Anolis sagrei: one gene and its partners. The protein of the gene in region 1 purifies or fractionates together with the protein of each later gene. This does not show direct contact. Links are inferred from orthologs where the notes say so. Each region holds a gene or a part of one and is shown on either strand. Other genes may lie near its edges. The genes, in order: SNX9, DNM1 and SYNJ1.

What was found.
Region 2: the proteins of SNX9 (region 1) and DNM1 purify together in Homo sapiens (co-immunoprecipitation; 6 studies listed by BioGRID and IntAct, counting the BioPlex papers as one, with this or other methods). This does not show direct contact. The link is inferred for Anolis sagrei from reciprocal best matches to the Homo sapiens genes SNX9 and DNM1.
Region 3: the proteins of SNX9 (region 1) and SYNJ1 purify together in Homo sapiens (co-immunoprecipitation; 3 studies listed by BioGRID and IntAct, counting the BioPlex papers as one, with this or other methods). This does not show direct contact. The link is inferred for Anolis sagrei from reciprocal best matches to the Homo sapiens genes SNX9 and SYNJ1.

What each region holds. Positions count from the first base shown.
Region 1 is NC_090021.1:69,211,722-69,222,751, forward strand, and holds the start of SNX9 (sorting nexin-9), read right to left. Parts: upstream 4,481-11,030; 5' UTR 4,211-4,480; coding exon 4,199-4,210; intron 1-4,198. UniProt on the Homo sapiens protein: Involved in endocytosis and intracellular vesicle trafficking, both during interphase and at the end of mitosis. Required for efficient progress through mitosis and cytokinesis. Required for normal formation of the cleavage furrow at the end of mitosis.
Region 2 is NC_090031.1:16,581,528-16,591,738, reverse strand, and holds the start of DNM1 (dynamin-1), read right to left. Parts: upstream 4,230-10,211; 5' UTR 3,990-4,229; coding exon 3,829-3,989; intron 1-3,828. UniProt on the Homo sapiens protein: Catalyzes the hydrolysis of GTP and utilizes this energy to mediate vesicle scission and participates in many forms of endocytosis, such as clathrin-mediated endocytosis or synaptic vesicle endocytosis as well as rapid endocytosis (RE).
Region 3 is NC_090023.1:69,427,587-69,437,718, forward strand, and holds the start of SYNJ1 (synaptojanin-1), read right to left. Parts: upstream 4,736-10,132; 5' UTR 4,632-4,735; intron 4,615-4,631; exon of another isoform or gene 4,487-4,614; intron 1-4,486. Other genes in the region: PAXBP1 (PAX3- and PAX7-binding protein 1), read right to left, coding at 9,185-9,296. UniProt on the Homo sapiens protein: Phosphatase that acts on various phosphoinositides, including phosphatidylinositol 4-phosphate, phosphatidylinositol (4,5)-bisphosphate and phosphatidylinositol (3,4,5)-trisphosphate. Has a role in clathrin-mediated endocytosis.

The DNA of each region.
Region 1 (11,030 bases):
TTTGGTTTTGAAAGCTGGCATGCATATTTGTGTGTTTTTGGTTAGCCTAATAAAAGTTGTACCATCATATGGCCTTTGGAATTTGTTTTACAGTCAACACAGCTATTCCTGCGTTTGTACAAGCACAAGGCATTTCCTCTGGGATTTTGCTTCAGCTGGTCTCATAATGAAAATGTAGGAATAAAATCTTTATAACAGTGTTTCTCATACTCTGATCCTCCAAGAAGTTTTGGACTTCAGCTCTCACAATTCCTAACTGGTAAGCTGGCTGGGATTTCTAGGAGCTGAAGTCCAAAACAACTGGAGGAACAGAGTTTGAGAAACACTGCTCTCTAGCCATGTTTAGTTCTGTGAGAAGAGTAAGTCACAACAGGCCCTCAGCTTATGAAGCACACACACAAAAACAAAAACACATACACAGTTGATAGGTAATATAAATAGGAAATAAAAGCTTTTGGACTTAAGGTTTGTTGTGCAAGTCAAACCCAACAAGCCACAGCTAGTGAAGACATGTTTACTATAAAACATGATCTATAGACCAGGCCCAATTCCACTAAACATAGTTAAGAATAACTTTGCAACATTGAACAACCACAAATAGCAGTAGAGGTTTCTGATCTTGTCCCCAATGTTACAGAAAACAAGATGGGAAGAAGACTATGAATTAAAAGTTCACAGATATTCATTGCATTGTGTTAAACTATGGTTTAACATAATGTTCAAACATTAATAATGATCAGAAAGATTCTGCTCTACTTCTACCATGTGTTCAAGCTAAACCAAAAGATATCTAAGATTTAACAACTTTTTAACCTATAAAAAGGAAAGACTTTCTGCCAATTTTAAGATTATAGATTATCACAGCAAATAGAAAATATTGTTTTTTTGAGCTATATGACCATGTTCTAGAAGCATTCTCTCCTGACGTTTCACCTGCATCTATGGCAGGCATCCTCAGAGGATGCGAGGTCAGACCTTCTAGAGCAGGGGTTCTCAAACTAAGGCCCGGGGGCCGAATACGGCCCTCCAAGGTCATTTACTCGGCCCTCACTCAGGGTCAATCTATGTCTGAAATGACTTGAAAGCACACAACTACAACAATCCTATATCATCAGCCAAAAGCAGGCCCACGCTTCCCATTGAAATACTAATAAGTTCATATTTGTTAAAATTGTTCTTCATGTTAATTATTGTATTGTTTTAAAGTGTTTTTTGCACTACAAATAAGATATGTGCAGTGTGCATAGGAATTCATTCATGTTTTTTTTTTAAAATTATAATCTGGCCCTCCAACAGTTTGAAGGACTGTGACCTGGCCCTCTGTTTAAAAAGTTTGAGGACCCCTGTTCTAGAGTATGGCCATATAGCTCGAAAAACCTACAATAACTCAGTGATTCCAGCCATGAAAGCCTTTGACAATACAGAAAATATTATTAATAGTCCTATCTATCCGATTTGTTGTCAATCCACTCCTTTGGGCTTCACACAAATCTACCATTTGCCAAAATATATGATCCTGTCATTAATAAACTATTATTAATAGTATCACACTATAATTACAGATTGAGTGACCAATTAAATTCAACGCCTTATGTAAGAACAAAAAATAATAAAAACATAACTATATTTATGTTCTAAAATAAATTCCAAAACAGGTATACAGAAGATCAGAAGTTACTGATTACTCAATGATTCTCCTTTTATAGGTCAGGTAAATGACACAGCTTTTTCCATAGAGTGATTTGGAAATACTCATTGTAAACATGGACTGGCAACCAAAACTAACATATGAGAAAGATCAAAGAAAGAGGGGAAAAAAAGGTGAATTTTAAAATCCTTTGTGGTAACTAAACAAGTAAGCCATACATTATGAACCCACAATGATTTTGGAACAACATTTCCTTAACATTCATTAACTCCTTCCTTGAGACCTCTAAGCATTCTTCCTTTCCTCTTGAAAGTATTTTTGAAGCACATGTAAAAACCAATGTAGGCCTAAACTCCAAAAGGAAAAAAAAAACACCAGCAAGTAAGACCAAACAGACACTACAGGACTTATTACCAAATAAGCATATATTGGACAGCAGTATTATGTTCCCTCAAATATGTGCTATTTGCATTATACAGGCAGTCCGCAAGTTACAAACATCTGACTTACAAACAACTCTTCATTAAGAACAGGGGTGAGACAACATGAAGTGAGAGAAATCTGCCCCTCTGAAGGGAAATTCACTCCTGAGAGGCGTCTCCACTGAAGCTTTCTCAGCAATCCTTGTTTCCACAACAAGCCAATTGATCCAAAATCCAATTATGACAGGAAGAGAAAGTGAGGTGAAATCTTCTGAACGGGGACACAGACAGCAAGACAAACACAACAGGGGTGCTAACCCTTCCCTACACTACCCAAATCAAATTTATATATTATATGGGCCCCCTACTGGTGCAGCGGGTTAAACCGCTGAGCTGCTGAACTTGCTGACCGAAAGGTTAGCAGTTTGAATCTGGGGAGCAGGGTGAGTGCCAACTGTTAGGCCTTGCTTCTGCCAACCTAGCAGTTCCAAAACATGCAAATGTGAGTAGATCAATAGATACCACTTCTGCGGGAAGGTAACGGCGCTTTATTCAGTCATGCTGGCCATGTGACCTTGGAGGTGTCTACAGACAACGCTGGCTCTTCGGCTTAGAAATGGAGATGAGCTCCACCCCCCAGAGTCGAACATGACTATACTTAATGTCAGGGAAGCCTTTACCTTTACACACACACACACACACAGACATATACACACATATATATATCTACTACTAATACTATATAAAATAACAACACTTTATAAATAAAATATTATTTCATATATTACTATTTATATATATAGTATTATTATTATTAAAGCTGGAGTTATACTTCAAAAATGTACCTGTTTTGAACAAATACAACTCAAGAACAAACCTACAGACCCTATCTTGTTTGTAACTTGGGGACTATCTGTACAGGACTGTAATCTTTCAGAGTTTGAATATATACCAGATATCGCCACTGTGACATCCAACAACAGGTACAAAAAAAAAAGATTGTATAATTGTGTGCACACACCTGTCAACTTATGGTGACCTCATGAATTTCACAGGGTTTTCTTCAGCAAGGAATATTAAGAGATGGTTTTTTAGGAGCCCCCCCCCCCCTTCTCTCCAATGGCACAATGAGTTGAACCCTTGTGCCAGCAGGATTGCTGACCACAAGGTAGACTGTTCCAATCCAGGGAGCGGGTGAGCTCCTGTCTGTCAGCTCCAGCTTCCCATGCAGGGATATGAGAGAAGCCTCCCACAGGGTGGTAAAACATCTGGGCATCCCCTGGGCAACATCCTTGCAGACAGCCAATCCTCTCATGCCAGAAGCGACTTGCAGTTTCTCAAAAAAAAAGAATTAAGAGGTGGGTTTGCCAGTTCCTACCAGGGCTGACTTCAGCCCCCCGAGGTGTTCTGGACTTCAACTCCCACAATTCCTATCAACCTCATGCCCCTTCCTCCACCCCCCCTCCCCGAACTTAAGGGGCCTGAGGCTGTAAGGAAGTGGTTCTCAACCTGTGGGTCCCCAGGAGTTTTGGCCTACAACTCCCAGAAATCTCAGCCAGTTTACCAGCTGTTAGGATTTCTGGGAGTTGAAGGCCAAAACATCTGGGGAGCCACAGGTTGAGAACCACTGCTGTAAGGAATTGTGGGAGCTGAAGTCCAAAACACCTGGAGGCCTACTCCACAGGAAGGAGCCATGGAGCAGTTGAAGTGGTATCAAACCACATTCACAGGGAGGCCTTTGGACACAGAATCCCAGAGGCCTTGTAACACTACAACTCCCATGAGCCCACAGCAGGGAGCCACGTCAAACCCATCCCTGCCCAATTCTCCCCAAGGCAGTCTAATAATGGGCTTTCCTTTGGCCGTTAATGGCCAAACTTCCAACAATAACAATAACAACACAATTTCTCAGTCTCTGGGTGAGCCCAGCGAGGAAAGTTGACAGGGAAGGAAGGCCTCTGGAGCCAGGGATCAAAGGGGATCCCCTCAAAGAAAAACAACAACAACAAGAGCCTCCACACGCCCTTCATGTGAGGAGGCAACCCGCCCAAAGCGCGCCCAGAGGGAAGCAGGACGGGAATGGCGAGCGAGCAGGCAGAGAGGCCTGAGGGGAGAAAGGAAGGCTCACCTTGGTGGCCATGGCGAGTGGCCCCCGGCGGAGGGGATGCAGCTCCGGGCTCCCTCCTCCTGGGCCTCGGCGGAGAGGAAGGCGAGTAGGAGGAGGGGGAGGAGGAAAGGGAGGCTCCCTCCCTCTGCAGACGCCCCCTTGCCTCCTCCTTCCCTCTCTCCCTCCTCCTCCTCAACCCAACTGAGGGGAAAAGAAAGGCGCCTCTTCCTCCCTCTCTCTCTCTCTCTCTTCCTCCTTCTCCTTCCTCCCTTTTCTCCTCCTCCTCCTCCTCTTCCCAGGCCCAGGGGCGGGGTTTGAGCGGAGGGAGGGAAAGGGGCGGGAAAAGGAGGGCTGGCCCAAGCCACGCCCCTCCCCACGTGACGCCCTCAGAAGGCACACTCTTGCTTTCGGAAGGAGAGCCTCTTCCCGCTGGGGTGGGGGGCCGGGGTGGTTGTTTCTCAGGCCTCTCTTCTTCGGCTGGATCTACGCTGCCAGGGTCTGAAGCCAGGCCATCTTAATAATAATAATAATAATAAATGATAACAATAAATTAATTATAATTATATTGAATTAATTATATAATTAATTATTATATATTATATAATTAATAATTCGAACCAGTGCCATCAAAGCCAGAATTGAAAAGTCAACAACAGATCCCAAATGTAGACTGCAAGGAAGCAGATGAAAGAATAGATTACATCCTCAGCTATTGCGCAGACAGACTACAAGCAGAGGCATAACACCGTTGCTCAGATGGTTCATTGGAACTTGTGCCTGCAACAAAGAACTGGTGGGATCACAAGCCGGAAAAAGTTACAGAAAATGAATATGCCAAACTCCTCTTAGACTTCCAAACTCAGACAGAGTTCTGGAGCACAACACTCCTGACCTCACATCATGTTAAAAAACAAAGTATGGATCACTGATATTGCAATCCCAGGCAACAGCAGGATTGAAGAGAAACAACTGGAAAAGCTGACATGATATGAGGATTTAAAGATCGAACTGCAAAGACTCTGGCACAAGCCAGTCAAGGTGGTCCCAGTGGTGATCGGCACACTGGATGCAGTGCCTAAAGACCTTGGCCTGCACTTAAATACAATCAGCACTGACAAAAGTACCATCTGCCAGCTGCAGAAGGCCACCTTACTGGGATTTGCATGCATTATTCGCTGATACATCACACAGTCCTAGACACTTAGGAAGTGTCCGGCCTCTGATCCACTACAACAGCCAGCAGAGTGTCTGCTGTGGACTCATCTTGTTGTGTTAATAATAATAATAATAATAATAATAATAATAATAATAATTCAAACTAACAGAGTGTCGGAGCACAATACTCCTGACCTCACGATCATGTTGAAAAACAAAACATGGATTATTGATATTGCAATCCCAGGCAACAGCAGGATTGAAGAGAAACAATTAGAAAAACTGACACGATATGAGGATTTAAATTTGAACTGCAAAGACTCTGGCACAAGCCAGTAAAGGTGGTCCCAGTGGTGATAAGCACACTGGGTGTAGTGTCTAAAGACCTTGCCCTGCACTTAAACACAATCAGCACTGACAAAATTACCATCTGCCAGCTGCAGAAGTCCAACTTACTGGGATGGGCACGCATTATTTGCTGATACATCACACAGTCCTAGACACTTGGGAAATGTCCCACGTGTGATCCAATTCAACAGCTAGGAGCAGGCCCGTAGCCAGGATTTTGATTCAAGGAGAGCTGAGTTTGATTCCCGGGGAGGGGGGGTGAGGATCTACCCTAGCAAACCCTAGCAAACCTTTTGTATCATTACCACAATACCCCCATGCATATGGGATATATTGAGCATGGTGATCAGATCATGATATGAACAAACATAACAATTTAAATACTGTACCGGTAAGGCCTTCTCATGGACCACCCTGAGAATTTGGGGGGGGGGGGTGAAGCCCCTCAAGCCCCCCCCCCCCCCCCCGATGCCTGGCTAGCAGAGTGATCTTGTCTGCTGTGGGCTCGTTGTGTTTCTAATAATAATAATAGTAATAGTAATAATTCAGACTGACAGCGTTTTGGAGCACAATACTCCTGACCTCACAATTGTGTTGAAAAACAAAGCATGGATCATCGATATTGCAATCCCAGGCAACAGCAGGATTGAAGAGAAACAACTGGAAAAGCTGACACGATATGCAGACTGTGCAAGGAAACCAAAATGCAGACTGTGCAAGGAAACTATGAAACCATGGATCATATCTTCAGCTGTTGCAAGAAAATCGCACAGACAGACTACAAACAAAGGCACAATTCTGTGGCCCAAATGATTCACTGGAAGTTATGTCACAAGTACCACCTGCTAGTAGTAAACAATTGGTGGGATCATAAACCTGAAAAGGTAGTGGAAAATGAACACGCAAAAATACTGTGGGATTTTCGAATCCAGACTGACAAAGTTTTGGAGCACAATACACCAGACATGATGATTGTGGAAAAGAAAAAAGTTTGGATTATTGATGTCGCCATACCAGATGACAGCCGCATTGAGGAAAAACAACAGGATAAACTCAGCTGCTATGAAGACTTCAAAATTGAACTACAAAGGCTCTGGCATAAACCAGTGCAGGTGGTCCCAGTGGTCATTGGCACACTGGGTGCCGTGCCAAAAAATCTCAGCCGGCATTTGGAAACAATAAACATTGACAAAATCACAATCTGTCAACTGCAAAAGGCCACCTAACTTGGATCTGCATGCATCATTCGAAAATACATCACATACATTGAACACAGAAAGTTGATCACAGTGGGCAGGGCTGGTTGCAGAGATTAAAAGTTTAAAAACAATGGGTGAGAGAGCAATGTAATGTATCTGGAGAAGGGATCCGTGGGACGAAGTGGGGTTTAATTGCACTAACAGGTAAAATAAATCATATATTTTTATTATATATAAATGGTTTTCATGAGATGTCTTGTGTCCCTATACATTTCATTATATTTTGTTTTTAAAATACAGTATTTATTTTGTATTTCACATAACTCAGAGGTTTCACGTTATGTTTGTGTGACACACCTAAAATTGTTTTGTGTGAGAGTGTGTTTATAATGCTGTGCTATTGTTGGATTGTGTGATTTTAATGTTTATATTGATATGTTTTAATTCTATGTTTTAATCTTAAATGATGTGTTTATGATTTAATTGATAATTGTATGTTATTATTGTTATGTTAGGTTTCTGTATGTGAGGCATTGATTTTTGCCATAATTATGTTGGAAACTGCTTTGAATCCCCTTTTAAGGGAGGAAAGTGGTATACAAGTGAAGTAAATAAATAAATAATTAAAATTGCTTTTATGTGATCACTTTCTGTGTATATCATTTATTGTATCCATTTCTTTGGTTGTAAGCTGACCAGAGACCCTCTAGGGAGATGAGGCGGGGTATAAATACAGTTGTTGTTGTTGTTGTTGTTATTGTTGTTATAACACAGATCTTTCCAAACTGTGTCTTGACACATGAGTGTGTTAGCTGCAGTGTGTAGGAATGTCATGGAAACATAATGGGAAATCTTGGAAATGCATGTTATTGTCTTACAAATAATATATTTTAAAGTATAAAAATGAAAGATTTTCATAAGAGATGTTGCGTCCCCATACATTCCATTATTACAATTTATGTATGCAACTGTATCTCTTATAAGGAGTTAGTTTAACCTCTGGTTTGCCAGTTAAACCAAATTATTGTGCCCCAAAAATGATACGTGTCTACAAAGTATGCCACCCACATGAAATGTTTGGAAAGCTCTGATGTAAGGTATGCAGATAACAGCATGCTACTGGGAGAAAACAGGAAAGACTTGAAGGTAGTCACTGAAGGTTTACAGAAAACAAGACATAATGACTACAGCAGATTTACAGAATTCTAGACGATGAAGTTATCGAAAGAGTTTTAAGATTTTCCATATCCTGGCATAGTCACTCTTCAGTCAAGAAAGCAGCTTTTATTGGCCCCTAATACCAATGCAATGCAACCACCTTATCCCTGGAGGATATGTTCTAAGATCCTCGTGGATACTGAAACCATGGATACTACAGAACACTATATTTGGACTCTTCTTCAGCTGGAAGCTTCCTATTAAATAGCACTGGTTGATCTAGAGAGGCCCACAAACACATCTGGAGAGGGATATTTTGGATAAGTGAGCCCATTGCTAACCTTATAAGGGCAAAAGGCCACTATAAACAATACTATAATACAATAATATAAGCCATATGACTTATATTATTGTATTATATTTTTGTTTATAGTGGCCTCCTGTCCTTGTACTTAAGGAAATCTTTTCTCTGTATTGCTAACCTTATAGCCATCCCTTTCCTTTTGTACAGGGAGCTCCATAGTCCAGGAAAGTTGAGTCAGAGCTGATGAGAGCATTTCTCAGTGGTAAAATATATATATAGCAACAATAGCAAGCATTTCTAAGTATGGGTTGCAGAATGGCTGGAATTCAGTGTCATCTCAGACAAATCCTCAGGAAACTCTGCCCACAGCCTGAATGTTTCTACTTATGCTGTAATAGTCAAGCCAGGATTAGTCAGTGTGTGGCTTCCTATCATAAGTTTGCATTTTCAGGAACCTCTATACAAAAGTGGTCTGCTAGTAAAATTAAGTCTTTCCCTATTCTAGATCTGTTACACAGCTTATCAGATTTCAGGTTTATGATTCCTCTTCATTTTGTATTAAACCCTGAGATCCACAAACCAGAACCTGGTTTAAAAATACTGGCTCAGGTTGGTACACACACTAAAACCAAAAAAGCCATATATCTGATCATATGAATTTGTGATCAATACCATAGCAAAACTTACGAACAATTTTACATAGATAGGTAATTAGGTAGGTAGGTAGATAGATATGTAACTAGGTTCCATTGTATCTTTCTCTCTTCTATAAAACATTCTGAATTAACTGTTGTTTGTATCTTATTCCTTAAGTGGCTTTTTGAAATCAAGTTTGTAGTCTTGCTGCTGAAACAGAAAGAGGGATGGTTGGTCACTGCAAATCTGAGTAGCAAATCTAACATAGCGTGAAAAACACTGGCAACATAATTAAATCCTCATTTTCCATGTTACCACGTGATAGAAAAGCATCCAGAACGAAACAAAAACATTAGAAAGTGCTTGGCTCAGGAAACCCAAGTACATTTCCCTGTCAATTCTTGTCAACCTTTCTGAAGGCCTTGTCATTTCAATGTTTTACTAAGACTGAATTGATTCCTTACGTATATGATGATATATGGGTAATAGTAGTGGAGATGGATGCTTTCTTTCCCATAGTCGTTGGTCTCAGTGTTTTCTACATCATTCATATCAGTGCTTCAAGAAAATGTGTCTTTGTCCTATAGTGTATGCAATACATCTTGGGGCATTTACCCAAAATCAAATCAGCTCTGACTCAAATACTTTTGGGGCTCCCCCCATCCATCAGATGAATGATCCACGGGATCTATGCAGTTCACATAATGTTCTTCTAAGTCAGCATTTCTCAACCTGGGGGTCGGGACTCCTGGGGGGTATCAGAAAACACAGTATTTTCTGTTGGTCATGGGGGTTCTGTGTGGGAAGTTTGGCCCAATTCTATCATTGGTGAGGTTCAGAATGCTCTTTGATTGTAGATTAACTATAAATCCCAACAACTACAACTCCCAAACGTCAAGTTCTATTTTCCCCAAACTCCACCAGTGTTCACACTTGGTCATATTGAGGATCCATGCCAAGTTTGGTCCTGATCCATCATTGTCTGAGTCCACAGTACTCTCTGGATGTAGGTGAACTACAACTCCAAAACTCAAGGTTATTGCCCACCAAATCCTTCCAGTATTTTACTGCTGGTCATGGGCGGTCTGTGTCCCAAGTTTGGTTCAATTCCATTGTTGGTGGAGTTCAGAATGCTCTTTGATTGTAGGTTAGCTATAAATCCCAGCAACTGCAACTCCCAAACATCCCCACCAGTATTCAAATTTGAGCATATCAGGTATTTGTGCCAAATTTCAACCAGTGAATGAACATGCATACTGTATATCAGATATTTACATTACGATTCATAACAATAGCAAAATTACAGATATGAAGTAGAAACGAAAATAATTTTATGGTTGGGGGTCACCACGCCATGAGGAACTGTATTAAGGGGTTGTGGCATTAGGAAGGTTGAGAAACACTGTTCTAAGTAAATGTGCTACTCTTGAAGAATTGGCTATACATTCCGTCTAGATTACTGCTCTCTACGTGGGGCTGCCTCTGAAGACTGCCCGGAAGCTGCAGCTAGTCCAACGCTCGGCAGCCAGATTTCTAACGGGGGCTGGGTACAGGGAGCATACAATCCCTCTGTTACGCCAGCTCCACTGGCTGCCGATTAGCTTCCGAGCACAATTCAAAGTGCTGGTTTTGACCTACAAAGCCCTAAACGACTCTGGCCCTGTTTACCTGTCCGAACGGATTCTCCCCTATAAACCATCAAGGTCTTTAAGATCTTCCGGGGGGGCCCTGCTCTCGATCCCACCACTGTCACAATCGCGGTTGGTGGGGATGAGAGACAGGGCCTTCTCGATGGTGGCTCCCCGGCTTTGGAACTCCCTCCCACAGGAGATTAGAACTGCTCCCTCCCTCCTTACGTTCAGGAAGCTAGCAAAGACTTGGCTATGGAATGCGGCCTTTGACAACTGAATCAACTGGTCCATATGGAAGGAGAATGAATAACTGTGAATTATGACCAGGAATGCTTTGACGACGTGGCTATGTGATTGTGATGATGACGATGTTGTATTGTAATATGTTTTTAATTGTGTAATGATGATGCATTGTGCGGTTT
Region 2 (10,211 bases), on another chromosome or scaffold:
TCTACTCACATTTGCATGTTTTCGAATTGCTAGGTTGGCTGAAGCTGGGGCTGACAGTGGTAGCTCTTGCCGCTCCCGGAATCGAACCTGTGACCTTTTGGTCAACAAGCTCAGCAGCTCAGCGCTTTAATTATTATTATATTATTATATATTATATTAATATAATATATTAATATAATATTATATAATGTAATATAATATAGGTAAAGTAAAGGTAAAGGTTTTCCCCTGACATTAAACCAGGTCGTGCCCGACTCTGGGGTGTGGTGCTCACCTCCATTTCTAAGCCAAAGAGCCAGCGTTGTCCGTAGACACCTCCAAGGTCATGTGGTAGGCATGACTGCATGGAGCGCCATTATATTAATATATTAATATAATATATTGATATATTATATTATATTGTATTAATATAATGTAATACATTATTGTAATACATTATCCATAGATACCTCCAAGGGCTGGCATGACTGCATGGAGCGCCATTATATTAATATATTGATATAGTATATTAAAAAATATAATGTAATATATTATTGTAATATATTATCCATAGACATCTCCAAGGTCATGTGGCCGGCATAACTGCATGGAGTGCCGTTATATTAATATATTACATTACATTATATTATATTATTATAATATAATAATATAATATTATTATATTAAATAATATTATATTATTAATATGATAATATTATAATAATTATAATATTATATTATTAATATAATAATATAATATAAAAACTGCATGGAGCACCATTATATAATATATTACATTACATTACATTACATTACATTACATTACATTACATTATATTATATTATATTATATTACATTAAATTCTATTATATTATTAACAGCACAGGAGGCAAGGTGGAACTGTCTTGCGTGGAACCTGGCAAAACCGGGAGGCAGAGAGTGGAGGATGTGCTGGTGTGTTCTCTCCCTTGAATTTGCACTTTGCAGGGATTGCAACCAGCGACGCAAGCGAGCAACGACTGGCAGGGACTGCACTGTTCTTCTTACAGAGGGAGCATCTTGCTGGCGGACGTGCCGTGCATCGCTAACACATTTCCAGGCACTGACACCGCATTGATATGCGGCCGACCCCATTGGTCCTGTTCTCTTCCTCTCTTATTGATTTATATACTTTTTGCCTTCCTGTAAAGCACTGAGAGAAGCCCAAGAGGTGGAAAATAATAAGACCTGGGGATGCCGAACATTGCATCATTGCAAGAAGAGCAACGTTGCATTGACGTTGCATCCTCCTGGAAGGAATTGCAATGGCCCAATCGAAAATGATGAAGATTTGCTTCTGCCTGCATTGCCCCCCTTTTACCCTTCTGATATTTCTCTCCTCTCTTGAGATTACGTAACGATGGGGGTTGAGGACTGGGCTTTGCTTGCAGACGGAGCTGTTTCCTTCACATCCTCTCTTCCTAGCCAACAAGGTTAACTTCCCAAGGCCAGGAGCAACAGAAGGAAGGGGAAGAGGAAGCAATGGGAGGGGAATGTTGCCCAGACTCAGCTCAGCAATCCCAGGATGATTTGGGATTAACACCATTCGATCTCTCCTTGCCTTGAGGATGGGGAGGCAGAGCACAACACAACACAACCACCGCCCCGTCCTTCCATCTCCAACCCCAAAAGATATATGTGTGTGTGTGTGTATGTATACATATATGAACAGAATTTGGATCAGCTTCTGGATTATGATGCCAGGTCTACGTACGATGCTTCCAAGTCTATGCATTGTATTGACATGCCATTGTTTTGATGGCCATTGTATTTATGATTTTGTATTTGTATTTTTAATATTTAATGCAGCATTGAATGATTGCCAATTTGGAAGCTCCTCCAAGGTTGAGATAGAGCAGGGTAAAGAAAAGGCAGTTAATAAATAAATAATGTGTGTGTGTGTGTATATATATATATACACACACACACACACACATATACATACATATATATATATATATATATATATTATTTATTTATTTATTAACATATATATATATAATTTATTTATTAAATTTTAAATAATTTACATACTTTTGTGCATTCTTGTCATTGAGGTTTTTATGGTCTTCGTGTATCTGTTTAGATCATTATGTTTATCCAATTATTAATTATATATATTTTTGGCTGAGCACTTATTAATTTTTAATTATTATTTTTTTACTGCTTGATTTTTGTGGATCTTTTCTACCAAGGTATTGAATGTTTTCGTTTCTTTCTTTCTTTTGTCTGGAAGCTGCCCTGAGTTCCCTTGGAGAGATAGGGAGGTCTATTAATAAATTATTATTATTATTATTAATTTTTTATGTGTGTGTGTATTTCTTCTCCTCCACCCTCCCTCCAGAAGGAAAAACAGGCATGCTTCTCCCCAAACCTAGAATGGCTGCTGCTTATTTTTACTATTATTACCATTTTAATTTCTGAATTCAAATCCAAATAGAATTATTATTATTATTATTCCCAATGTAATTTCTGAATTCAAATCCAAATTATTATTATTATTATTTCCAATTTAATTTCAGAATTAAAATCCAATTATTATTATTTTATATATTATTATTCCCAATTTAATTTCTGAATTAAAATCCTATTATTATTATTTTATTTATTATTATTCCCAATTTAATTTCTGAATTAAAATCCTATTATTATTATTTTATTTATTATTATTCCCAATTTAATTTCTGAATTAAAATCCTATTATTATTATTTTATTTATTATTATTCCCAATTTAATTTCTGAATTAAAATCCTGATGATGATGATGAATTTCTGAAGTAAAATCCAAATAATGATGATTATTCCCAATTTAATTTCTAAATTAAAATCCAAATGATGATTATTATTTATTCCCAAATTAATTTCTGAATTAAAATCCTGATGATGATGATGAATATCTGAATTAAAATCCAAATGATGATGATGATTATTATTCCTAATTTAATTTCTGAATTAAACTCCAAATGATTATGATGATTATTATTTTTCCCAATTTAATTTCTGACTTAAAATCCTGATGATGATGAATTTCAGAACTAAAATCCAAGTAATGATGATGATTATTATTCCCAATTTAATTTCTGAATTATAATCCTATTATTATTTATTCCCAATTTAATTTCTGAATTTAAATCCAATTATCGTCATTATTATCTATTCCCAATTTAATTTCTGAATTAAAATCCAATTATCATCATCATCATTATTTATTCCCAATTTAATTTCTGAATTACAATCCTATTATTATTATTATTATTATTATTATTATTATCTATTCCCAATTTAATTTCTGAATTAAAATCCAATTATTATCATTATTTATTCAGAACTTAATTTCTGAATTAAAATCCAATTATCATTATCATCATTATTTATTCCCAGTTTAATTTCTGAATTAAAATCCAACTATTATTATTATTATTTATTCCCAATTTAATTTCTGAATTATTATTTTTACTATTATTATTATTATTATTATTATTATTATTACCCTGGAGATTTGCAGAAAAGCAATGCCTCTGTTTGAGCCTGTGCTTGGGGAGGGAAGGCAGGAGGGAGAGGGTGGGGTGGGGTTGCTAGGCAACCCCGGCTGTCAATCACAGGCCTGCCTCCTAGGGTTGGTGCTGGCACCAGGGAGCATCTGCAATGGATGGATGGAGCCGGGATGGAAGCCTTGCATTCATCCTCTCCGCCATCCCTTGCACTGCCACTAGAGGGAGCCATTCTGCATGGAGAAAGCAGGCTCAGATAGAGATAGAGAGAGATTGCCATACACATAAATAGAGAGAGAGATGCATAGAGAGACTGACCTGCCGACGAAATTCTCCAGGACGGAGCTCTTCCCGGCGCTCTGCCCGCCAACCACGGCAATCTGGGGCAGGTCCAGGTTGGCATTCTGCCCGATGGCGGAGAAGGCGTCCTGGAGCCGGTTGACCAAGGGAATGAGGTCCTCCATCCCCCGGTTGCCCATGGCTGCGCCCGCTTAGCAGCCCCGCCAGGGAGCTGGCCAAATACTGGTCCCAATACAAGAGAGTCTGCTGGGGAGGCTCAAGCCCGGGCCGGCTCCCCCAGGCCTGCAACAAGGGCTCCCTTCCCCGTCTCTCTCTCTCCCTCTCTCTCCTCCCGCTTAATCCATAGGCTTGCCTCCTCCTCCTCCTCCTCCCGCTGCAGCACTGACTGCTTTGACTGGCTCCCAACGCAAAGACAGCGCGCTGTCCCGCCTCCCGCCGCCAGAGGGCGCCCTCCGCAGCGCCTCCAAGCGCTTCCTGGGAAATGTAGTTCAATAGGCAGAGGGGGATGCAGCCCAAGGTTAGCATCCTCCCATCCTAGGCCATGTTTGGAAGACCCAGTTCAAAGCAGATACATGTGGGATTTTTCTGCCTTGGATATGCTGGGTTATATAGGACTGTGTGGAAGGGCCTTGGGTTAGAATAATAATCATAATAATCATAATAATCTATATAAATAAAAATATAATGCTTATTTGTGGGATTAAGAGAACTCAAAAACCACTGGGGGAATGTCACCAGATTTGGACACAAGACACCTCTCAGGCCAATGAGTGACCATCACTCATAAAAACACTGAAAAACACAGAGGTAGGGACTTAAAAAGCCAAAAAACCAAAAGAAAACATTACAACTCATGTGCAAAACCACATATATATATACAAACACACACATATACACACATGTGCATACACACACACAAAACATACACAGAAAGAAAGAAGGAAGGAAGGAAAGAAGGAGGGAAGGAAGGAAAGAAAGAAGGTGAGAGAAGGAGGGAGAGAAGAAGGGAAAGAAGGAGGAGGGAAGGAGAGAAAGAAGGAAAGAAAGAAGGGTAGAGAAGGAGGGAAGGGGAGAAGAAGGGAGAGAAGGGAAAGAAGGAAGGAAGGAGAGAAAGGTAGAGAAGGAAGGAAGGAGAGGAGGGAAAGAAGGAGGGAAGGAGAGAAAGAAGGAAAGAAAGAAGGGTAGAGAAGGAAGGAAGGAGAGAAAGGGGGAGAAAGAGGGAAGGAGAGAAGGAAAGAAAGAGGGAGGGAGAGAAAGAGGGAAAGGCAGAGGGAAGGAGATAAAGAAGGAAAGAAAGAAGGGAAGGAAGGGTGGAGAGAAGGAGGGCAAAAATGAAATAAGTGAAAGAGGGAATGAAGGAGAGAAGGAACAAAAGAGAGAAAAGGGGAGGGAGGGAAGGAAGGAAGGAAGGAAAGAGACAAGTAGGGATAGAACCAAAGAGCAAAGGAAGCAAGAAAAGAAATAGGTAGAGAAGGAAGAAAGAAGAAGGGAAAGAAAAAGAGGGAAGGAAGGAAAGAGGGAGAGAAGAAATGAAGGAGAGAAAGAGGGAGGGAAGGTTGGCCACAGCAACGCGTGGCGTGTACAGTTAGTAATCTATATAAATAAAAATGTAATGTTTGTTTGTGATATTAACAGAACTCAAAAAGCAGTGGGCCAATTGACACCAAATTTGGACAGCACACACCTAACAACCTAATGTATGTCCTTCACTCAAAAGTTTTTGATTTTGTCATTTGCGAGTTGTAGTTGCTGAGATTTATAGTTCACCTACAATCAAAGAGCATTCTAAACCACATAAATGATGGAATTGAACCAAACGTAGCACACAGGACTCCCATGACCAACAGAAAACACCTCATTGGGTTGCTCTAAGTTTTTTGGGCTGCATGGCTCTGTTCCAGTAGCATTCTCTCCTGATGTTTTGCACCCTCATAGGTTTATTGGCAGTGAGGCAAGTATATATAAGTATGTTTGCATGTGAAATAATGCCTGGTCTCTCCATTCATCTTGTTGGGTTGCTGCAAGTCTTTTGGGCTGCATGGCCCTGTTCCAGCAGTATTCCGAAAGGCTCAGATGTGCCTTTCAGCTCTCCTTCAGGATCCCATTTGCACCAAAATGCAGCAGCCACAGCTTTGTCTTGTTTTGCAACGGCTTTTCAGAAGAGAGAGACGCAAATGTATGTTGACATAGCAACCACGGGGATGGGGCTCTGTGTTGCCACAAGGAAATGTGTGCAACCTGGCTGTTGTTGTTTGGTTCGTGCATCATCTCACGGCAGGAGGGAAGCATCTCAGATCAGGAGTCAACCTGAGCACTTTTGCAGGGATGCCGACAACAGGAAGAAGTGCTCTTTTTCCTTTTGTTTTTAAATAACCCCCCACCCGTGAACCACCACCAATGACCTCCACCAGGTGTGAAACTAATATCTGGTGCCAGAGAGCAGTCTGTTCAGCACTTTTCAGGTCGCCCCGTCCTCCATGTACCCAGGAAGGAGCCTCTCATCCTCACAACCTCTGAGGATGCTTGCCACAGATGCAGGCAAAACGTCAGGAGAGAATGCTTCTAGAACATGGCCATACAGCCTGAAAAACCTACAACAACCCAGCCTCTCATCCACTATCAGCCATGGATTGAGGTTTCGGGTTTTAGCCTGCCACTTTTGGACTCTTGCTTGCTGAGGTGTTTCTGCGAGTATCTCTCTTGATCTCAGGAAGTTGATTTAAGGCATTGGGATGCTGACTGATATCTGAACAGAGGATGGGCCAGAGATGACAATGCCTTGGTCATTTCATTGCTGGCTGCTACTTCCCGACAGATGTCAGGTGGTGCAATATTGGCTAAACAGTATATTTTCTCCAGTGGTGTTGGGCGTCCACATCCACTTTGTGGGGAGATGTGTTCCACACTGGGCATGACTACTCAGCAGCAGAGTAGCAAAGCTCAAGGGCAGGTGTCTTAACTGTGTCTGGTTGTGATCCCAAGGTTGTGCCAGCTTTCATACAATATTATTTCTAGCACCCACTTTTTGCTTGATAGGCAAGCAGTGCTTCTTGTAGGTCAAAGCATGGTCCAGAGTGACTCCCAGATCACTCTGGGAGTGCTTCCGTGCAATTCCTTCCTAGCTCATCCTTAGACCTCAAGATCCTTGTCTGTCCTTAAGGTGAAAAGCACATGTCTGCATTTTAGATGGATTAAGAATTAGCTAGTTTTCCCTGAAATAGGCAGTCAACGCATCTAAAGCTTCAGAGAGCTTTTGTTCAACAATTTCAAAGCACTGCTTGGGCGGTGATGGCACGATCATCAGCATAGATTACACTCTCTGACCCTTCTGGCAAGTGGCTGGTCATTTGTGTATATGTTGAACATGGATGGAGCCATGGATTGAGGCTCCCCTGAGCCAGGCTGTTCTTCTGCTTCTTTGGCCCTGGAACTCAACAAAAAAGCTCCTGTTTTGTAGCAGATTTCCTATGAAGCGGGTGAGGTGGTCATCCCTTGTGATATTATATGTTTTTTCTCAGGAAAAGGCCATGATTTACAGTGCCTTAGGCTACTGACAGGTCTATGAAGACAGGTTCTGTAATCTGATGCCTTTCAAAACCATCTTCTATGTGTTGAGTCAGGTTCAGCACTTGTGATGTGCAGTTTTTGCCTTTCCTAAAATAGCTTGATGTGAGATCATAAATGGGTCTATTTTTTCCATAATTCTATGCAAAATAAGCCTCTCCTGAACTGAAGGTGAAAAGCACATATCTGCATTTTAGATGTAATTGGCAATAGGAGCACTCCAAGCTTTGGGGAGCTTCTCTTCAACCATTTCAAAGCTCCCTCCGTGAGTGGTGATGGCACGATCGTCAGCATAGATGAAACTCTCTGTCCCTTCTGGAAGTGTCTGGTCATTTGTTTAAATGTAAGAGCACCTAAAGCTTCAGAGAGCTTCTGTTTAGTCATTTCAAAGCTCCCTGCTTGAGAGGTGATGGCACGATCGTCAGCATAGATGAAATTTTCTCTCCCTTCTGGCAAGTGGCTGGTCATTTGTGTAAATGCTGAACATGGATGAAGCAAGCACACTTGCCATCTTCTTCTCTGGCCCTGGAACTCAACATAAAAGCTCTTGTTTTGTAGTAGATTTCCTATGAAGCGAGTGAGGTGGCCATCCTTTGTGATAGGAGAAGGCTATGATTTACAGTATCATAGGCTACTGACAGGTATATGGAGACAGGTTCTGTAATCTGCTGCCTTTCAAAAACCATCTTCTATGTGCTGAGTCAGGTTCAGCACTTGTGATGTGCATTTTTTCCCTTTCCTGTTCAACCATTTCAAAGCTCCCTGTTTGAGCGGTGATGGCGCGATCATCAGCATAGAGGAAACTCTCTGTCCCTTCTGGCAAATGGCTGGCCATTTGTGTATATGTTGAACATGGATGAAGCAAGCGCCTGAGAACTGGGAAGCCCTGGTCCTAGAACAAGCCCTATGAGGAGCGGCTTAGGGAACTGGGCATGTTTAGCCTGAAGAAGAGGAGGCTGAGAGGAGATATGATAGCCATGTATAAATATGTGAGAGGAAGCCACAGGGAGGAGGAGGGAGCAAGCTTGTTTTCTGCTTCCTTGGAGACTAGGACGCGGAGCAATGGCTTCAACTAAAAGAGAGGAGATTCCATCTGAACATTAGGAAAAACTTCCTGACTGTGAGAGCCGTTCAGCAGTGGAACTCTCTGCCCCGGAGTGTGGTGGAGGCTCCTTCTATGGAAGCTTTTAAGCAGAGGCTGGATGGCCATTTGTCAGGGGTGATTTGAATGCAATATTCCTGCTTCTTGGCAGGGGGTTGGACTGGATGGCCCATGAGGTCTCTTCCAACTCTTTGATTCTATGATTCTATGAGTGCTCCAGCTGGAGGTCAGCTGTGACCAGCAGTGCTGCATAATTTGAAGAGGCACGAATAGAGGGCGAAAGAGAGAAATGTGCTAAGAGGAAGGCGCATCAGGCCAACCCCGACCGAGACCACTTTCCACCTGAAAAACCAATGCCCTCACTGTGAGAGAAGATGCAGATCAAGAACAGGGCTCCACAGTCACCTACGGACTCACCAGAACACTGATCCTGGAAGACTATCCTACTCGGCCAATGAGGGATCACTTAAGTAAGTAAGTAAGTAAGAAGCAAGCGTGCTCCCCTGAGGCAGGTTGTTTTTCTGCTTCTTTAACCCTGGAACTCAACAAAAAAGCTCCACTATGAAGCGGGTGAGGTGGTCATCCTTTGTGATAAGTTTTCCTCAGAAGGCAATTATTTGCAGTGCCATAGGCTAACAGATCTATGAAGACAGGTTCTGTAATGGTTAGTGGGCAGACCGATATTGTTGGGGCTCAGCCTGTGATTGTATTTCAGGATCAGGGTGTTTTGGATGTGGGGAGTGATGTTAATGAGTTTCAAGATGAGTTCCAAGATGGCAATGGTTTGGCCAGTGATATTGATGCAGAGAATGACCAGGAGATCCCTGTGCAAAGTGTAGTTTCCCATGAGAATGTCTCTGAGGGGTGTGGAGATGATGGTGTGCTTTCTGAATTGTTACCAGAGAGTTCCCATGATTTGGAGCTTGAAAACAGCTCAGCACCTGGCTCAGCTGCAGAAATTAATGAGCAAATATTTATTTATTTACTTATTTACTTCATTTGTATACCGCTTTTCCCGGCCCTTAGGCGACTCAAAGCGGTTAACAATAGCAAAAAATAAATGCTATTTAACTTATTTAATTAAATCATAAAAACAGTTAAGAGACAATTAAAACAATAACATAGTAAACAATTAAACATCAATATAACATCTCATTAGCGTCTCATCAGTAGAATCAAGATCCAATCTCATCATCCGTTGTTCCGTATTCCTATATTCATTACACTGTCTATTCAAATGCCTGCTCGAACAACCAGGTCTTCACTTTCCTCCAAAATGCCAATAGGGAGGGGGCCGATGTAATATCTGTAGGAAGGGTATTCCACAGCCGAGGGGCCACCACTGAGAAGGCCCTGTCTCTCGTCCCCGCCAAGCATGCCTGTGTTGCAGGCGGGACTGAGAGCAGGGCCTCCCCAGATGATCTTAATGTCCTAGCTGGTTCAAATAAATAGACAAGAGGAGATTCGTCAAAACAGGAGAGCCGAACAATGGCTTCGGTGGCCTGCCAGGGTCCGAGAAAAAAGACATTATCAGTTAAAACAAAACCAATTTCTGAATGCTAGAGACTTCGCTAACGAGGAGATAAAAGTCCCAAGTACAGGATATGTAGTCAGATGAAGCATCGTTTGGAATCAAGTTAAGTCCTCGTTCTTGTTCGTGGAAGTTTTGCTTGTTTTAAGTGCCTTTGTTTCATGGTTTTGATTCTTGTATTTTATGCTTCCATATTCATACTTT
Region 3 (10,132 bases), on another chromosome or scaffold:
AAATTTAGTTGGTCTACAAAGAATATGTTTGGAAGTGGACTAGAGTGGGCATATGTAATTCTGACCCAATATAAGATGCACTGGTTACCAGCTACTTCTTAGCTTAATTAAAATTGCTGATCATAATGTTTTAAACCCTAAGCATCCTGGAATAAAAATACTAAGAATTTCCAATACCCATCATATGGTTCTGCTCAATCCTTAAGCAAGTATGTTGAAATACTGCAGTTCCTTGTTTCTGGAAAATGATAAGTGAGCAGAAAAACAAATGCTTTTTCTACCCTAATGTTGAGAGAATGGGATAACTTAGTAAAGAAAGTCTATTTGCTCTCACCCCTATAACCCTTTTAATAAGCAGCTAGAGCCGCAGTGGCACAATGGGTTAAACCCTTGTGCTGGCTGTGCTGCTGACCTGAAGGCCGGTGGTTCGAATCCACGAAACAGAGTGAGCTCCCATCTGACAGCTCCAGCTTCCCATGTGGGGACATGAGAGAAACCTCCCACAGGATGGTATCTGGGCATCCTCTGGGCAACATCTCTGCAGACAGCCAATTTTCTCACACCAGAAGTAACTTGCAGTTTCTCAAGTTGCTTCTGACATGATTAAAAATAAATAAATAATCAGCTAAAATATACTTTTAAATGGGTTCCCTTCACGGGTTGTTTTGTTTTTAAAAAAAATCTGGTTTCTTTAATATTGAGTTATTTTCATCACTTTATATTGAGTTATTTTTATCATCTGAATCTAAATAAACGTTAACACTCTATTTTGACTGTAATATTTTTTGTCTTGAATATTTTTTCTGATATTTATCTAACTACTGCTTCAGGAGAACTGTAATGCGCTCATATAATCATAGAGTTGGAAGAGACCTTGTGGGCCATCCAGTCCAACCTCCTGCCAATAAACAGTAAAATCACATTCAAAGTGCGGTAACACTTCTTGATACAATAAACCATCAGATTTCAATTGCTTCAACAGAGCTAAACCAGCTGCTGTGTTCGGAAACTGTTCCCAAACATGCAAGTGCTTTTTGTCATATTAATGTATGTCTAGCTTTTATGATATTTGTGAGGTGGAGAACTGGAACCTAAAGAAGAGGTACTAACTTCTGTATAACATTACAGTGTCTGAACAAAATGCATTGACCTTGGTAATGTTTGTTGCATTTCTGCACTCTTTCTTTGCTCATGTGAAGTGCAAATTACACAATCAGCATTTGCCAAAAACATTTCCTTTAAAATTAAATACTAGTGTTTATAAAACTAAATAAAAATACAGTGTGGCATAATAGCTGCAGATTACAAGAGTGATGTTTCTTGTGAAATACAGAATAAGGAGATTCAAGTCTTTTTTTTAAAAAAGTGTAATGGATTTCAGCACCACACACAGTTTTATAATACTACCAAGCCGTCTACAAATATACTCAGTGCTTAGCACGAGACAAAGATTATCAGGGCTCAGCTCTAGAATGCAAACATGCATTTGCTTCACCCTCTTCTGGTAAAGAAAGATAGTTATCAAATTGCTGACAGCAAATTTTGCAGAAACTTGTAAACTAGTCTATGCTGTTAACTAGTCGATGTTGTCATTGCTGGGAAGGAAATAGCATCTACTAACTTATCTGAGGGCAGGCAAAGGGCCTGGTGTTGATGCTTCTTGTGCCCTATCTGCCACTGAAAGCAACTACAGTAGACTCTCAGCCGACACCCAAGGGGACTGATAAATACCAGATAAATGTAGTTTCTGGTTGGTTGACAGTTACTATTAAACATAGGCGTAACTAATCTATACCCCATAATATAACATAAACTCTGTGTTAACTTGATATCTATATTGAAACACGGTAATTAAAAATAAATAAAGACAAATAAAGACAAACTTAATGTAACATAGTTTTACTGTACAGTCAAGATTCCAAGTTTCAAACATCTGACTTACAAATGACTCCTAGTTAAGAATGAGGCTGAGAGAACAGGAAGGGAGAGAAATCTACCCCTAGGAAGGGAAATTCACTCATGGGAGAGTTGATGTAAGGGTCCTGATGGCGCAACGGGTTAAACCATTGAACTGCTGAATCTGCTGACCCAAAGGTTAGCAGTTTGAAGCTGTAGGTTTGGGTGAGCTCCCGCTGTTAGCCCTAGCTCCTTCCAACCTAGCAGTTCGAAAACATGCAAATGTGAGTAGATCAATAGGTAACACTTTGGCGGGAAGGTAATAAAAGGCGGCCATGCAGTCATACCGGCAACACAACCAGGAGGTGTCTATCTGTGTATGTCATAATCTATTCTGAATCTCCTCGGGGAGATAGAGCAGAAGATAAATAAAGTATATTGCTATTATTATTATTTATCATAGGGAAAAGGAGTCTCCACTGAAACTTCTTCACCAATCCTTGTTTCCACAACAAGCCAATTTTTTTCAAAATCCAAATCCCACAGGGACAGAAAGTGAGATGAAATGTTCTGAACAGTGGAACACACAGCAAAACAAACACCACAGGGGTGTTAACCATTCTCTATGCTATTTAAAGCTATATATTTGGCTGGAGTTACACTGAAAATGTTCTAACTTACTTACAAATTCAACTTAAGAGCAAACCTACAGAACCCAGTCATGTCCATAACTTGGAGACTGCCTGTATTATAAAAACAGCCTTGTGGATGCAGTATTATTTTCCTCAGTGTTTTGCTGGTTGCTTGAGAGTCCCAGATAACAATGGCCCCTTCCACACAAGCTGAATAAAATCCCACACTATCTGCTTTGAATGGAATAAATGGCAGGGTGGACTCAGGGCCTTTCACACAACCCTGTATCCCAGAATATTAAGGCAGAAAATCCCACATTATCTAAGTGTGGATTCAGATAACCCAGATAAAAGCAGATATTGTGAAATTTTCTGCCTTGATATTCTGGGATATAGGGCTGTGTGGAAGGGCCCTCAGATAATGCAGGCCCCTTCAAGCCAGGCCCTTTATCCCAAGATCCGGTTATTGGTTTACTGCTTTAAACTGGATTATATGTGTCCGCACTGCCAGGTAATCTGAGAAAAACAGAAAACCTGGGATCAGATCCTGGGATAAAGGGCCTGTCTGGAAGGGCACTCGGGGACTTTCCACACAGCCCTATTTCACAGAATATCAATGCAGAAAATCCCACAGTATCTGCTTTGAACTGGGTTATCTGTGTCCACACTCAGATAATGTGGGATTTTCTGCCTTGATATTCTGGGATATAGGGCTTTGTGGAAGGGCCCTGGGTTATCTGCGGGCCCTTCCACGCAGCCCTAGATCCCAGAATATCAAGGCAGAAAATCCCACATTATTTGAGTGTGGACTAGGTTATCTGAGTCCACACTTAGACAATGTGGGATTTTCTGTCTAGATATTCTGGGATATAGGGCTGTGTGGAATGGCCCTTAGTTCAAAGCAGATATTGTGGGATTTTCTCCCTTGATATTTTGGGATCTAGGGCTGTGTGGAGGGGCCCTGAATCCACACTCAGATAATATGGGATTTTCTGCCTTGATATTCTGGGATCTAGGGGTGTGGAAGGGTCCCGAGTCCACTCTCAGATAATGTGGAATTTTCTGCCTTGATATTCTGGGACATGGGGCTGTGTGGAATGGCCCTTAGTTCAAAGGAGATATTGTGGGATTTTCTCCCTTGATATTTTGGGATATAGGGCTGTGTGGAAGGGCCCTGAATCCACACTCAGAAAATGTGGGATTTTCTGCCTTGATAGTCTGGGATCTAGGGCTGTGTGGAAGGGCCCCGAGTCCACACTCAGATAATGTGGGATTTTCTGCTTTGATATTCTGGGTTATATGGCTGTGTGGAAGGGTCCTAAGAATCTCCTGTGCCTCACTTTGCCTAAAGGCAGAGCCAGGGCTAAGTAGCAATTTCAACCCCCTCCAACAATGTGTGTTTATACATTGCACAATAACTAGATATTAACATCTGGATATAAACATCTGATTCTTTTAAAATCCAGCGAGATTTTAAAAGACGTGTTTTGAAGAGCCGTCGCAATTCCATGTCAGAGACGCCGCCTCGCCTCGGTGTTGAGACGGAAATCGATTTCTTAATGAACCGCAGGCCAAAGAAAACATGATTACTAATGACAGCAGTAATGGAAGCCCAGCTGGGAACTGCCTCAGAATTTGAGAGCAAGGAAAACAGCATCTTGGGAGCCATACACAGAAACACCAAACTGGCAGGCTTCTCCCCCCATTGGGGGAAAAGGGGGCCTTCCTGGGTTCCCGAAGCGAGGCCTGGCCTGCGGGGTCTTTCTGGAGATGGGGACCCTTCCCTTCCCTTTCCCCAAGACCGTCCCCCAAGGCTCCCCATCTCCCCGTTTCCTCAGAGAGCATAGCCAGCGGTGGACGCCCGGCTTTCCACGCAGGCGATAAGCTTTTGCCAAGGCGACGCTGATAATCCCATATACCGAAGGCCTCCCTCCTTCCCTCTCCCCATCCCTCCTTGCCGTGACAGGCCGGCGCTCACGACTCCTCCATCTTGGGATTCCCTCTCTAACGGCTCCCCCGGCCCAGGAAGGGGCCCGAGTTCCTCCCAAATAAGAACTGAAGCAGAACGGGCGCCTCGGAAGAGATGCGGAGTCCTCCCCTTACCGGCCACCTCAGGGAGCCTCTTCGTGCAGCCGCTGCCTGAGGCGCTGGCCTCACTTCCTCTCCGGCGGGGCCGCCGCTTCCGCACTGCCCCGCCCCCTCCCCTCCAGACCGGAAGTTGTGGGAGGTGCGCGAGGACAGGGAGGGAGGGGCGCCCTGTCTCCAGGGAAGGAGAGTCTTCCTTCACCGTCTACTTTAGAGCAGGTGTGGGCCAACTTGGGCCTTCCCTCCAGGTGTTTGGACTTCAACTCCCACCATTCCTCACAGCTTAAGCGGCTGAGGGGGAAAAGGAAAAGGCCTGAGGCTGTGAGGAATGGTGGGAGTTGAAGTCCAAACACCTGGAGGGAAGGCCCAAGTTGGCCCATGCCTGCCTTATAGTCAATCTAGTTGTGGCTTTCTCAAGAGGCTCAGGCAGCAAAAACAGACCGTGCTTGACCTTGGTGTGTGTGCTTGTGGTTTGGCCTGAAATCCCTTCTTGCTGTCAGGAGGCAAGATGGATTGTTTTGGAACATGACTAACTGGAAAACACTACCCTCCGGAGGCGCATCCGTTTCCTTTCAGAAGACCTGCTGACTCAGCAAATTGGCTGTTTTTTTTTAAACGCAGCATCATTTTTTTGTCCACATTTCGCCTTCCTCTAAGCCAGTGATTCTCAACCTTCCTAATGCAGCGACCCCTTAATACAGTTCCTCATATTGTAGTGACCCCCAACCATCAAAATATTTTCGTTGCAATTTCATAGCTGTAATTTTGCTACTCTTATGAATCGTAATATAAATATCTGATATGCAGTATGTATTTTCAATAACTGGGACCAAATTTGGTACAAATATCTGATACGCCCAAATATGAATACTTTGTCATTTCAGAGTTGCAGTTGCTGGGATTTATAGTTAACTTACAATCAAAGAACATTCTGAACTCCATCAATAATGGAATTGAACCAAACTTGGCACCAGACACCCATGACCAACAGAAAATACTGGAAGGGTTTGGTGGGCATTGACCTTGAGTTTTGGAGCTGTAGTTCACCTACATCCAGAAATAAATGCACCCTATTCCAGAAGTTACTGGACTGTTTGGGGCTTTTAAAAGTGCTTTAAAACAGTGATTTTCAGCCTACTTCGGAAAAAAAAGTGGGAGGGTAAAGTAGGCCCTCTGTATCAATGGATTTAATCATGTATATTTCTTATGTGGTTTCACAGCGAGTTAAACTGCTGAACTTGCTGATCAGAAAGTCAGTGGTTCAAACTCACAGATGGGGTGAGCTCCTGTTGTTAGCTCCAGCTTCTGCCAACCCAGCAGTTCAAAAACATGCAAATGTGAGTAAATCAATAGGTACAGCTTCTGCGGGAAGGTAATGGTGCTCCATGCAGTCATACCAGCCACATGACCTTGGAGGTGTCTACAGACAACACCAGCTCTTTGGCTTAATAATGGAGATGAGCACCACCCCCGACTAGACTTAATGTCAAGGGGAAACCTTTACCTTTACTAGGATTTAATCCATCATTCCATAGCATTTACATTATTTCTTATGTTTTCAAAAGGCAGGCCTTGATTTTGTTATTCTATTTAAGGGACATCATTTTATTATGCCATTGTAAATAATATGACTTGACCATTGATGAATTCATAACACAGGTCCTGGAATCAAACTGAACAGATACCAAAGCCCCACTCTATGTGGCTTGAATCGGAAAACCCCACATTTTAGCATGGATTGCCATTCAAGGTCTTGGGAGGAGTATGTGGCCCCCAGGACCACTGGAAGTAGGTAGTGATTACAGGCATGAAGAAAAAAAGTCTATTGCCTGTATATTAACAAAATGTTTTATTGCTGCTGGATAATTACTTGTGACAGATCTGTCACACTACATAATCCTGTGATGTTTCTTTTTTAATGGTTTGACTTAATGCTTTTAACATTGTGCACAAACTGAAGGTCAGAGTAGGAAGGCTTCACATACTAACTCTATGACACCTCTCTACATCAGTCATTGTACTCCGATATTTAATTTCTGCCAGCACTGCTTTCTGGCCTATTCTTTCTAAGAGCTTTAGGACTACCGCCACTGTCTTGTTCTATTTTTGGGTGACACAAGTTACTTAACGTGGAAAGGTTATGCCAAAATTAGATCTAACCAGTTGTCTGCATGCAGACAGATATCAAGTTTAGAGTAATGACTCATTAGGTTTTAGAAACCCAAAGTACAGGACTTTTGTACCTGTACCTTTTTAGAAATTGAAATAGCAAAAGTATGCAAACCAAAAGTAGACCGGGTACAGCTACTTGTCACTTTCTCACTTATATCCAAACAGTAGAATAATTTCATAAATAATGTAAATGCTTTCATAAATCAGTACTATTTCATTCTCTTAACATAAAACACTAGGATGTTTTCAATTAAGAATCTCTTCCCTGACTTTTGTACCCAGAATTTGTTTTAAGAGAATATAAAAGAAGTTGTAACTTTTTTTTCTGTATAGCATAAATGTTTTATATAGACAGTATATTCTTAAAACAGATGTGCAAATAAGTGGAGCTCTATATATTATTAGAATAGAGCTCCTAATCTGTATGAGAACCCTTGTTCCTTTAACAGGAATGGGCAATCTTTGGGCCTCCAGGTGTTTTGAACTTCAGCTCCCACAATTCCCAACAGCTGGTGCCTGTCCTATAATAAAGAATTTAATTGATGTTGGTTGCCTGGGGCTGCTAATTAAATATGTAAGACTGATCGCCAAGCAAATCTGTAGAGGACTATAATAGGTTTTCACTCAAGATTACCAGCTTTAAAATGAGCAGTTTTTAAAAAAGACTGTCTGGGAGACTTGACATAAATTTAAGCACCACTCGTCTTAAAATCAAAACCTATGGAATTAAGTTTGAAAATAAGCAGTGCTTGATTTTAAATTGCTTCGTCAGCTTTGAACAACAGTGAGCCGATCTTTATACTAGTTTAGGACATAGGCCAAAGTGCTAACACAAGAGTGCAGCACTGTCACTCAGCTTTACCTTGTATGGCATGGACCTTATTTACCACCTCATTGTGCTTGAGAACGGCTTTTTAAAAATCACATGGCAGCCTAAATAGAAAGTAAATGCTTCGGCAAGAATGAATCAGGAAGGGCTGACATCAAGTATATGAATAGTTAGGATAGAAATCTGCTAAATCAAGGTAACATGAGAAAATATTTCCAATGGAAGTTAGTGATTATCAAACATACATTAATTTAGCAATGTTCTTTTCAGAATAAAAATTCTGTTTACATAGTGAAATACTGTATATTCTGGGGTTTTACACAACTGGGGCTATAAGACGACACCCCAACTTTAGCACACAAAATAGAGAGTTGGGGATATGCTCACCGTTTAAGACGACTCCGCATTTTCTGTCCTCTACGCCAGGTGGTTTCTGTCCTCTACGCCTGGTGTGTGGTTGCCCCTGGGCTGCTTCCTGCGCCACCTCCAGAAGGGCCTCCCGCGCTGCTCAGACCGCTCTCCTTCTTCCTGCCGCCATGGCATCTCTGCCTCCCAGCCCCGTCAAGCCTTGCGAGAAGCGCCTCTTCTCCTGCGAGACAAAGTTGTCTCGCGGGTGAAGAGGTGCTTCTTGCGAGACCTGGCCAGGAAGGAGAGCGGCCTGAGCAGCGCGGGAGGCCCTTCTGCTCAGGCCGCTCTCCTTCCTGGCCAGGCCTCGCAAGAAGCACCTCTTCTCCAGCGAGATGTCTCACAGGAGAAGAGACGCTTCTCGCGAGGCCTGACCAGAAAGAAGGAGTGCGGCCTGACCAGCGCGGCAGCCAGGAAGAGAGGAAGGACGGGGAGCCTGCCATGAGCCAAGGCAGTGGAGGAGGAGGAGGAGGCGGAGGCGGAGGGGAGCCCGTGGCCAAGGCCCTCCACACCAAGAGGCTCTACCGGTAATTTTATTATTAATTTTATACCCGGCGTAGTAGACTCCGCAAATTTTATAAGGTTTTACATGCCTAAAAAGTCGTCTAGTACCCCGGAATATACAGTACTTTCACTACAAGGAAATGCATTTTACTGTGAACCCCCAAGGACTGTTATGTAATTGCAATTGTTAATTTTTAGTTATTATCATCAATACACAAACAGAGACCAAGGATATTGTTTTGGAAATTTCTTTACTCTGAGCAGGGTCACACCATATACATATATTTTGGACCAAATTCCACCAACTGAAATCTTACTTTGAAATCTTCCATTATCTGAAACACAAATTTGAGGGCTATACTATTTGCAGATGATCTGTTAATGAGCTTTATACTAAGGAATTTCCTGTTAATGGAAGGTCATTCAACTGAATAGATGGCGACAATGGAGTATAAAAGTCTTTGTAAACAAGATGGAGGTGAAAATTTTCCTGGCTTCCTTTTCATTTTCTCAGAGACATCAATGCTAGTATAGATGCTGTATATAAGAATGCATTTTGTATTAAAAACAATCCATAGTTTACAGTTTAATAAAACTTTACATATGTACAAAATTACACTTCAGGAATGATTTTTATATCCCAGAATTACATGGCAAAACTTTATTTCCCCTCACTTTTTAACTCTTTCACATTATGATCATTAGCCACGGTCACAGCATGGTCCAGTGCCCGAATACTTGATAGAAGTTTTATTATCTGTTTTATATGCTCCCTAAGAAGAAATGAAAGAAAATGGTCAGCATTATTTAAAATTTGGATCATACGTGAGAAAGTACTAAATACCCTGGATATTATGTTCAGATACATCCACTTTCTCCCTTGCAATGAGTAGGGCGAAATACTGCTCAAATTCAGAGTCAAAGCATGATCAGCACTTAGCATCAGCACCCTGGTTAATAAAATATTCTCAGGTAAGGTTTGTGGTGATTCATTCGTCTTGCAAAGAGATTGTATACATACATGGCTACACAGAAATAAAATAGCCAAATGCTCTAATACATACTGGCTAGCCTTAACATGGCTTCGGGTTACACCAGCAATTATTACTTCCACAAAGGACTACTGGAGCACATATTACTCTGGAACTTCTACCATGATTTATAATTCAATAATCTGTACTGGAATGTACAAACATTTTTATACTGTACTACTTTGTGCGATGCACTGTAAGAAAGAATACAATACTACACTTGAGAACAGTAGCACCATGCAAGGCAATTCTAAGTAGTGTAATGCTGCTTTCACATTAGGTAACAACTGTCACCCAAGTACTGCAATTTATTTATTTTCTCCCAGTCAGAAGCAGACAGATTATTGCAAGTAGCATATGTGGAGTTCATCCATGCCATGCTGGACTCCTAAATCACTTTATAGGTAATATTTATACATTATTTGCCCTTGAGGCATCTTGAACTTTTTCAAAATGGTGATGTTTGTATTCTGAATCAAATGCTTTAGAACTGAATAATGTATTTGTTGTTGTTGTTCATTCGATCAGTCACTTCCGACTCTTCGTGACCTCATGGATCAGCCCATGCCAGAGCTCCC